Rattus norvegicus: one gene and its partner. The protein of the gene in region 2 purifies or fractionates together with the protein of the main gene of each other region. This does not show direct contact. Links are inferred from orthologs where the notes say so. Each region holds a gene or a part of one and is shown on either strand. Other genes may lie near its edges. The genes, in order: Slc6a8 and Ociad1.

Region 1 (3,713 bases), on a different chromosome or scaffold from region 2:
ACATGCCCAAAGCCAACTCCCAATTGTCCCCATCACAGGACCTGGCAGCACCCTTCTTCCTGTGGCTCAAGCCAAATCTCTGTTGTTTATCTTGACTCCTCAATTCTATATCATGTAGTCATCCACAGTCCCTTCTGTTCCTGCCAGGAAAGAAGACCCCAATCCAAAGAACCTCCCCCACCCAACTCCATTGCCACCAGACAGGTCCAGGTGCTGATGCCTAGTCCCTGGATCATTGCCCCAGCTTACCTCTTACTATCTGTGATCCTAGTGTACCCTTTACTTTTAGATCTTGGAAGGCTACTTGCTCAGAAACATACTCTCTTGATTCACCTGCCTCAATATCTCAAGTTTGGGGCTTATAGGCATGAGCCACCATGCTTGGTTTAGAAAAATTCTTGGAATAACTTATAGCTACAGACTCTCTCTGCTGCATTTGTTCCTATTCAACTTACTGTCACCCCCATGCTCTTCAGTCTAGGGGCTTGAGGCTTCCTTCCCTGCTTCAGTTTCTGACATGCTACTAGGTGCAGAATCGCTCAGAATGGGCTTTAGTGAATGCTAGCCTGGTGCTGCCAGGGCCTGTGATGGGGACAATTGGGACTTGGCTTTGAGCATTTCATCTGGTTCCCACACCTGCATCCCCACCTCATTCCTCTTCCAGAGAAGCAGAAACAGGAGCCAACTTTGGAAAATGAAGTGTTTTTATTGCTATGTTTGCAGTGGCTTTTTTAGCACAGTAAGAATGTCCCCAAAGGCTTGCACCCTTACCCAGCCCCACCTCCCTGGCTTAGTCCAGCTCTGTGTGAAGAAAGCCTTTCTAATGGCTACTTGGCTGTTTCAGGCTTGATGGGACACAGATGTGGGTTTAAGCTGCTACACGGAAGACTTGAGATGTCGAAAGCACATCAGCCTTTAGCTTGGAAGTGGAAGCCATACCCAGGATCCCTTCCCTGGGCTATGTCCATGGGAAATCCCTGCAATCATGCCCAGCCCAGGGAGCTGGGTGTGGGCAAGTCTGAGCATGTCAGGTGAGCAGACCCAGATTCCCTGGGATAATGTTACAGCCTTCTACCCCACAGACTTAGAGGCAAAGGAACAGTGTGGGGACACCATTGAGGCTCCCACCTTCCTACTCCAGTCTCTGGCTGGAGACCATACAGAACATCCACACAAACAGACTCACATATTCAACAGCCTGAAGCTTTTGTTTTGCCTATGAAAATTAAGTCTATAAATTCACACTCCTTGGCTAGGGTCAGAGAAGGTGGGGATGTCAAGGAAAGGAGTGGAAATGGGGGATGGTGGGGGCTTTTTAGAAATATACAAGCAGAAGTCTCACTCTCAAGTTTTTTTTTCTTATAAAATGTGCAAAATATAAGCCTCCTTTGCCCAGAGGCTCTGTTTACTTCTGGTATTCACCTTCACTAAGAGATAAGAGATCTACACACACACACACACACACACACACACACACACACACACACACACACACACACACACATCACACAGAGACAGACGTGCACTCAGACCCAAGCTCACACAATTAATATTGGTGGCAATTGGCGCAGGAACACAAGGTTCCATTGCTGACTGGCTCTCTAGCTTCTAGAATAGGGGCGGGAAGAGTTCTAATTGAGCTGAAATATTCACCTTGGTTCCACTGTCCCTCTCTTGCCTCCCCTCCTGTCCTACTGTTATTTTCCCTCCTCTCCTGTTCCCCAAGCTGCCACTGTTGGTTCTAGGGCAAAGGTGTGTTACAGAGCAGAGCTTGGGAGGCAGGCAGATGGGCTTGGCAAGGCTAGGAGATGGGTCCTGGGCACTGGGAAGAAGGAAAGGAGGTGGGGACTGGAAGCAACGAAAATACCAGCGTAGTTGTGGGGTGGGGAGGAGAGGCATCTATTTTTGGTGGGTTGTGATGTTTTTGGCGTTTTATTAAAAATGGAAAAAGTTGTTTTTGTTAGCACTCATGGTGCTTCCTCCCTTTCCCCAGGCAGATCCCCAAACTGTCAAGGAAAGGCAAGCCCCCGAGGGATGGGTGGGGGCTAAAGCTGGGGCTGCTATGGCTACCAAAGGATGAGCTGGTGATGTGAGCTGGGGGTGCCTGTCACATGACACTCTCCACCACGACGACCTTGCTGCTCTCGGACACGGGAGTCAGGGTGGTCAGGCCCCTGACATCTGCATCCTGAGCTCTGTATTCCAAGTGATGGAGGCCCCAGATAGGCTGGGTCAGGTGCTGCCATCGCTGTGGGAGAGGAGGGCATGCTGAACTTCCCATGGGTCACATGCAACTGCTTCCACCTCTCTAGCTCCTACTATCTGCCACTGAGACAGGTGTGCTTCCCTATGGGCACCCTTTTCAGGCCCTGCTCCCTGTAATGGGAAGCAGGGTTAAGTAGTCCTTGTGTGGAGCCAGGAAAGTGAGATGTGGGTCTTGCTTCCTTGCTACCACATGAGGCCATAATGGGTCAACTTTCCTTCCACCTATTGCCCCCACCAATGTGAGCTGGCCATGCTTCCGAGTGATGGACTGTTCCTTTGAGGAAAGAGGAAGGAACCTTACCTCTGCCATGGTTCCTTTTGCCCTGAGGAGACAGCCCAGGAGGTGGAGGGGCACACAGAGCATAGAAGAGAGTGCAAAGGCCCAGCCCATAGCTTCACCCCACCATGGGTACACGTAGGTATTGTTGTAGACCAGTGGCTTGTAGTACACAACATTGAAGATGAAGATGCCCTATGGACACAGATGCCTGCAGTCACTGGGGCCCCACTACCCCACTACCCCACACCACTTGCCCACTTCCCTAGCCTTACCATGCAGACCAGTGGGGTGAAGAAGGACCAGCACCATTTCATCCAAGGGCAAGGTCGGTACCCAATCATACAGGCAATATCGTCCATGAAGCGGTCAGCTCCTGGAACAGACAGGAAGGCTAGAGTTGGAGACCATCCATCCTCATTCCACCCACAATTTCTAACCCAGCCCTTCATTTTGACCTACCATAAACCCAAGCCACCACCACACACTCCCAAAAGGCTTGCCAAAGCAGGGTAGTGCCACTAGCTGAGTAGTAGTCAAACAGCTGGAAGACGTACATCCCGCCCTGAGGAACAGAGTCAGGTCAGGGAAGATGATGGTCCATGGGTGGAAACTGACAGTAACCCACCTTACCCCCACTTACATCAGTCACCATGGAGAGATCGATGACAAAGCAGAGGGCACAACAGAGGGCCACGGAGATCTCCCTTTGAAAACGGAAGTAGTAGGAGGCCGGGAGGAGATCCAGGAGCCCAGTGATGAAGCCCTCCACACCTACAAACTGTGGCCAGGGCAGTTCAGGCCCAGGTCCCCATGTCCCCGTGCACCACTTGCCCAATGTGCCAAATCCCCTGACCACCACCAGCCCCTACCCCATTCCTGCCCTAGATAGAGCTCCTGCAAACCTGGCTGTCCAGACCGAGCAGCAGCAGCATGAAGAAGAACAAGGCAGCCCAGAGTGGGGCCACAGGCATCAGTGTGACAGCCCGTGGGTAGGCAATGAAGGCTAGACCAGGCCCTGAGTGCAAAGATGCAGGGTGAGACTGGCCCTCAGCACCATCCTGAGTACCCTGATGCCTAAGGTCACACCCATCCCCCAGGTGATAAAATAATAAAAATCTGAGGACTATTTGTGCCTCAGCATGGCTAAGCCCATTGAGGTCCTACAGGG
Region 2 (4,511 bases):
CAATGAAAGGCAACAAAGGCAGCACTAGTTATGACAGTCATTAAATGTAAGAGTTAAAACCCAACCAAGTCTGGTTCAGACACCTGACTTCAAAGCACAATGACTGTGTAACACAAGTAGACACATTTAATACCTCTAAACCTTAGTCCTTTCATCTCTAAAGTGAGGGTACTTAACAACTCTACTAAATTATTTTCATGCTATTTTGCTACTGACAAAATTGCTATTCAATTTCCTGAATCTCTATTAGTAATAACCACACTATCCCAAAAGTGTCCCGATGTAGTCTATAATAAGTTATAACTTCAAACGTGAACTTAAGTCAAGTTTGTAAGTGAAAGTTTTGGATGGAATTATGCTAATTAGAAAAATGATGAACCAGGGCTGAGAGATGGTTCAGTGGTAAAGTGCATGAATTGCAAACCCCAGGATCTGAGTTCTGATCCCTAATATTTATTTAAGGAGTCAGGGCTGGGCACCCCAGTACTGAGAGGCAGAGACAGGCAGATCCTGAGGGCTCACTGGCTGGCCAATTTAGCCAAATGGTGGAACTCCAGGTTCAGTGAAAAAACCTGTCTCAAAAATTAAGACGGAGCCAGGTGGTGGGGCAAGCCTTTAATCCCAGCACTCGGGAGGCAGAGGCAGGAGGGTCTCTGTAAGTTGAGGCCAGCCTAGTCTACAGATCGAGTTTCAGGACAGCCAGGGCTACAGAGAGAAACCATTTCTCACCGCCCGTTTTTCTCTATGCCTGTGCACATACACAGATACCACAAAAACACCCATGCATATTCTTTAAAGTCCTTAGCAGGAAAACTCACATCTGAACCAGAAGCACTCTTCATGGCACTCTGCAAAGAGCCTCCACTCTTCTTCTGTTGGAATGTAGCCGCCCCCTATGTCTTTTAGAAAAAAATTGGAAGTCATTTTCTTAAAAGCCTGAAAAGTTAGCTTTGTCTACTAGTAACAAAAACATTAAAAAAATAATAATAAAACCATGAGACAACTGGCTTGTCACTTTTTAAAAATCAATTTTGATTTCCTACAAAATTTATTCTTACTACCTGCTAGTCAGACAGGCTGGACACGGTGCTAAATGAAAATATGTAAAATGAACCCCCACCCTTGTTCAGATGATAAGAAATTTGGAGACTGTAACAAGAGAACATTTAAGCTCTGTGTATGACTATAAGGATATCACACCTATAAAACCAGCCCAATTTCTACCGTTACTCAATTACTCAAGCAATTAAAATTTCTCTACACAGAAAGGGTTACCAACTGTAAATACTTAATATGATAGTCACCAGGAATTGGTCTTGACACTTGTGCATTCGGCTCCCGAAAATCTGCCCTCCCATTCATAGTTCCTGTATCAGAAACATTTATAACCAAATATTACAAAGTATCAGTATAAATATACATAACCGGTCTATCTGTAAATTAATAAATATTTACTTAACATTAAACACTCTTAAATTAATCTTATTTTACATGCACGGTGTTCTGCTTGCATGCCACAGATATGCCTGGTGCCTGAGGAGATCGAATGGCACGGGATCCCCATGACCTGGAGTTGCAGATGGTTGTGACACTGTGATAGGACATGTGGGTACTGGGAACAGAAGCCAGGTACTCGGGAAGAGCCAGTGCTCCTAACTGCTGAATTCTTTCTTCAGGCCCTGACCTTTACATTTCAACTACATAAGAAAATAACCGAATGAAAAAGGGTCATAAACATATTATTTGAACTAATTATTCACATTCGCCCCTTTAATAGAAAAGCGGGTATATAAAAACAACAGGCAAAATTTCCCTTCCAAGGCTAGGTTATTTCACATTATTTTGTACCTTGATTAAAAAACAAAACAAAACAAAAAACCACAACTATGTCCAAATGATTGGGGAAAAAACCCTCAAGTCACTTCTAGGTTTCCAATGAAAACAAAAGTACATTGTCTCTCATAACTCAGCAGTCAAAAATAATGACGTCACATTCTCTGCAGGTAGCTACTCTAACGGCAAAGTCTTCCAAACTTTCCCTACCAGGCCAAATAATCTTCAAATAACTTAAATAAATAAAAATTTAAAACCCCAGAGCAATCCAAGATCATGTATTGATATTCATCCATCTTCCTCTGAACTTAGACGTCAGCATTTCAGATAAGGAGGATTTCTTCGTTAAAACACATTGCCGCATGAATTACACGCTGCCGACAGCAAAGCATCTTTCTGTAATTCGTTTAGTGACTAAAATCATCACCTACTGCATACCTAGATCCCTTAGAGAAAAAGGTTTCGTAAAAGGTAAACTGAACTCTGGGTAGATAAAGCACTCAGAGGAAGCTTCTTAAACTGCAAAACCCTACTGGAAAAAAATTAAACCTCATCGTCCCCAAGGAGGCTGGAGGGCAGTGCGACCTGTCTGAACACTACAGCTCAAAGCTAGTAATTACAAAGGACAAGGCTCAAGAGAAGCTGGGGCCGTAGACCCCAGCACTCCTGCCCAGCACCTGCCACCCCACCTCGGCCACCGCGGCTTTCCCCACCCCTCCATGCAGGTCCCGGGTGCGAGTCACCGGCCGTGCAGCCGAGCCAAGGCCCGCAGTGCGACCGGACACCTCCAGGCAGGAAAATGGCGGCTGCGGGCGAGTGTGGGAGACTGGCAGAAAGCTGAAACTGGCTGCGCCATCACACCTACCTCACGAAGGAGGCGGCAACGCGGGGAGCAAGACCCGGGGTACAGGCCAGGAGAGGACCCCAAAGACAGGCACGGAGGACAACGCGGGAAACGGGGAGGGGAAAGAGGGCAGCTTCAAAGGGCTCGCCAAGATGTCACCTAGACACAAGCGCCAGCAGACCGAGACCCGGAAGCAGTACCATCGACAGGAAATGATGTTAGACAGCTCTGGGGCACTGCCGCTGGGCAGTCTCTCAATACTCGTGTGTCGGCCACGCCCCGTCCAATTAGTTCCGCCTCCTTTCACGCCCCACGCCCCTCCTCCCAGCCACGGCGCTCCAGAGCTGCACTGCGGCTGCGCGAGTTATGGCCTGCCCCTCCGCTCACCCTTAGGTTCGATGCTCTTGTGACATACTCCTATGACTGACTGTTCAAAAACATTTTGGAACCCCCTCCATCCTCGAGTCCCCTCCTTATCCCATGACTTTCCTTGGACTTGCCTAATTTTAAGCTCTACATAAATTATCGTATGCTTTAAGCCTCTAGGCTAGGTAGTGAATTTTAAGCGTGAACGCGTAGTTAACTGTCAGAACCTCCAGTCTAGTGTCTGATTGATTCTAAAACCGGAGTCAGGATACACTCCAACGCGGAGACTCAGAATTTACTCATCTGAATAACAGAAATAATGTGAAAACTATGAAAGTTTTGGATTAAAACAAGTCTGAAAAGGAGTTTAGGCTCTCTTTCAGACTGTATTAACAGCAAACTATATTTTAACGCTAGGAGACCAGCTTTTCATATCAGAGATCAGGCTGCCACTCCTTACACTGATCCTAGGCACGTTTATTGAGTGCGTATGCTGAACCAATTACTGAAAGTTTATCGTTGATACCCTCTGAACAGCGATAGCCCACCCTAGTTCTGAACTCCTATAGTCGTCAGATTTCTCACCATTCCTTATTTCATACTTTTTTCCCCACTGGCTCTACAGCGTCCACAAACTTGTCTGTACACATATGTAATAGAGAAAGTCATGTAAAGCATGAATTCAGAGTCATGGCTAGGCCTCTATGCTTCTTGAACCCCACACTAATGAGGAACACCCTGTTTTGTTTGCATTCAACTGTCCGTTGTACTGTCCAGACCAGGACCAGGCACAGAGTTGTAGATTGCACTGTTTGCAAACCCTGTGCTTGTACCACTTCCTTTGTGAAACCTGAACTGCACCAGATAGTCCTGTTCCTCGGTGTTCATGAACTTCTAGCACCGAATGGTAGCTCTGGCTATTGTGGTATTTTGTTGTCACCGTTTCTTTCTCTCACTGAGGTCATATTGAACAGCTTTACAAGTATTTGTACTCTCACATGTTCTAAGACAATCGGTATAAATGTTCGTTTTCCTGTGGTGAGTTATTCTGAGTCTAGGACCTTCGAAGTTTCTTTTTTCCCCTCAAGGTATGTTGATGTTACCACATCCAAGATGCTTTCCTCCCTGCCCAATTAAAGTGACACTCTAGTCACCTTGTGTGTTGTCTTGCTTTTTCTTTTCATAGCATTTTCTGTGACCTAAAACAATTATTTGTGTGTCCTGTCTCTATCTTTCCCCACCCCCTCACAGAAATAAAAGGTCCGTGAAAGAAAAGAACCATACTTTTCTAGCATCAAATTGATTCTCATATAGTATAAAGTCAACAATATTAAATCCTTTAATGAATATGTTGGGTATATTTTTATAATATAAAAACATATAAAAGGAAATTAGAAGACAGAAGTCCAATATTTCCATGCCTTCAGCCTATAGTAAAATTTGAATGTTCTCTTTCCTGCAGAGGGAG

What was found.
Region 1: the proteins of Ociad1 (region 2) and Slc6a8 purify together in Homo sapiens (co-immunoprecipitation; 3 studies listed by BioGRID and IntAct, with this or other methods). This does not show direct contact. The link is inferred for Rattus norvegicus from reciprocal best matches to the Homo sapiens genes OCIAD1 and SLC6A8.

What each region holds. Positions count from the first base shown.
Region 1 is NC_086039.1:156,542,295-156,546,007, reverse strand, and holds the end of Slc6a8 (sodium- and chloride-dependent creatine transporter 1), read right to left. Parts: intron 3,561-3,713; coding exon 3,448-3,560; intron 3,324-3,447; coding exon 3,186-3,323; intron 3,108-3,185; coding exon 3,005-3,107; intron 2,919-3,004; coding exon 2,818-2,918; intron 2,738-2,817; coding exon 2,567-2,737; intron 2,249-2,566; coding exon 2,108-2,248; 3' UTR 687-2,107; downstream 1-686. UniProt on the Homo sapiens protein: Creatine:sodium symporter which mediates the uptake of creatine. Plays an important role in supplying creatine to the brain via the blood-brain barrier.
Region 2 is NC_086032.1:35,266,421-35,270,931, forward strand, and holds the start of Ociad1 (OCIA domain-containing protein 1), read right to left. Parts: upstream 2,855-4,511; 5' UTR 2,699-2,854; intron 1,368-2,698; 5' UTR 1,363-1,367; coding exon 1,305-1,362; intron 900-1,304; coding exon 819-899; intron 1-818. UniProt on the Homo sapiens protein: Maintains stem cell potency. Increases STAT3 phosphorylation and controls ERK phosphorylation. May act as a scaffold, increasing STAT3 recruitment onto endosomes. Involved in integrin-mediated cancer cell adhesion and colony formation in ovarian cancer.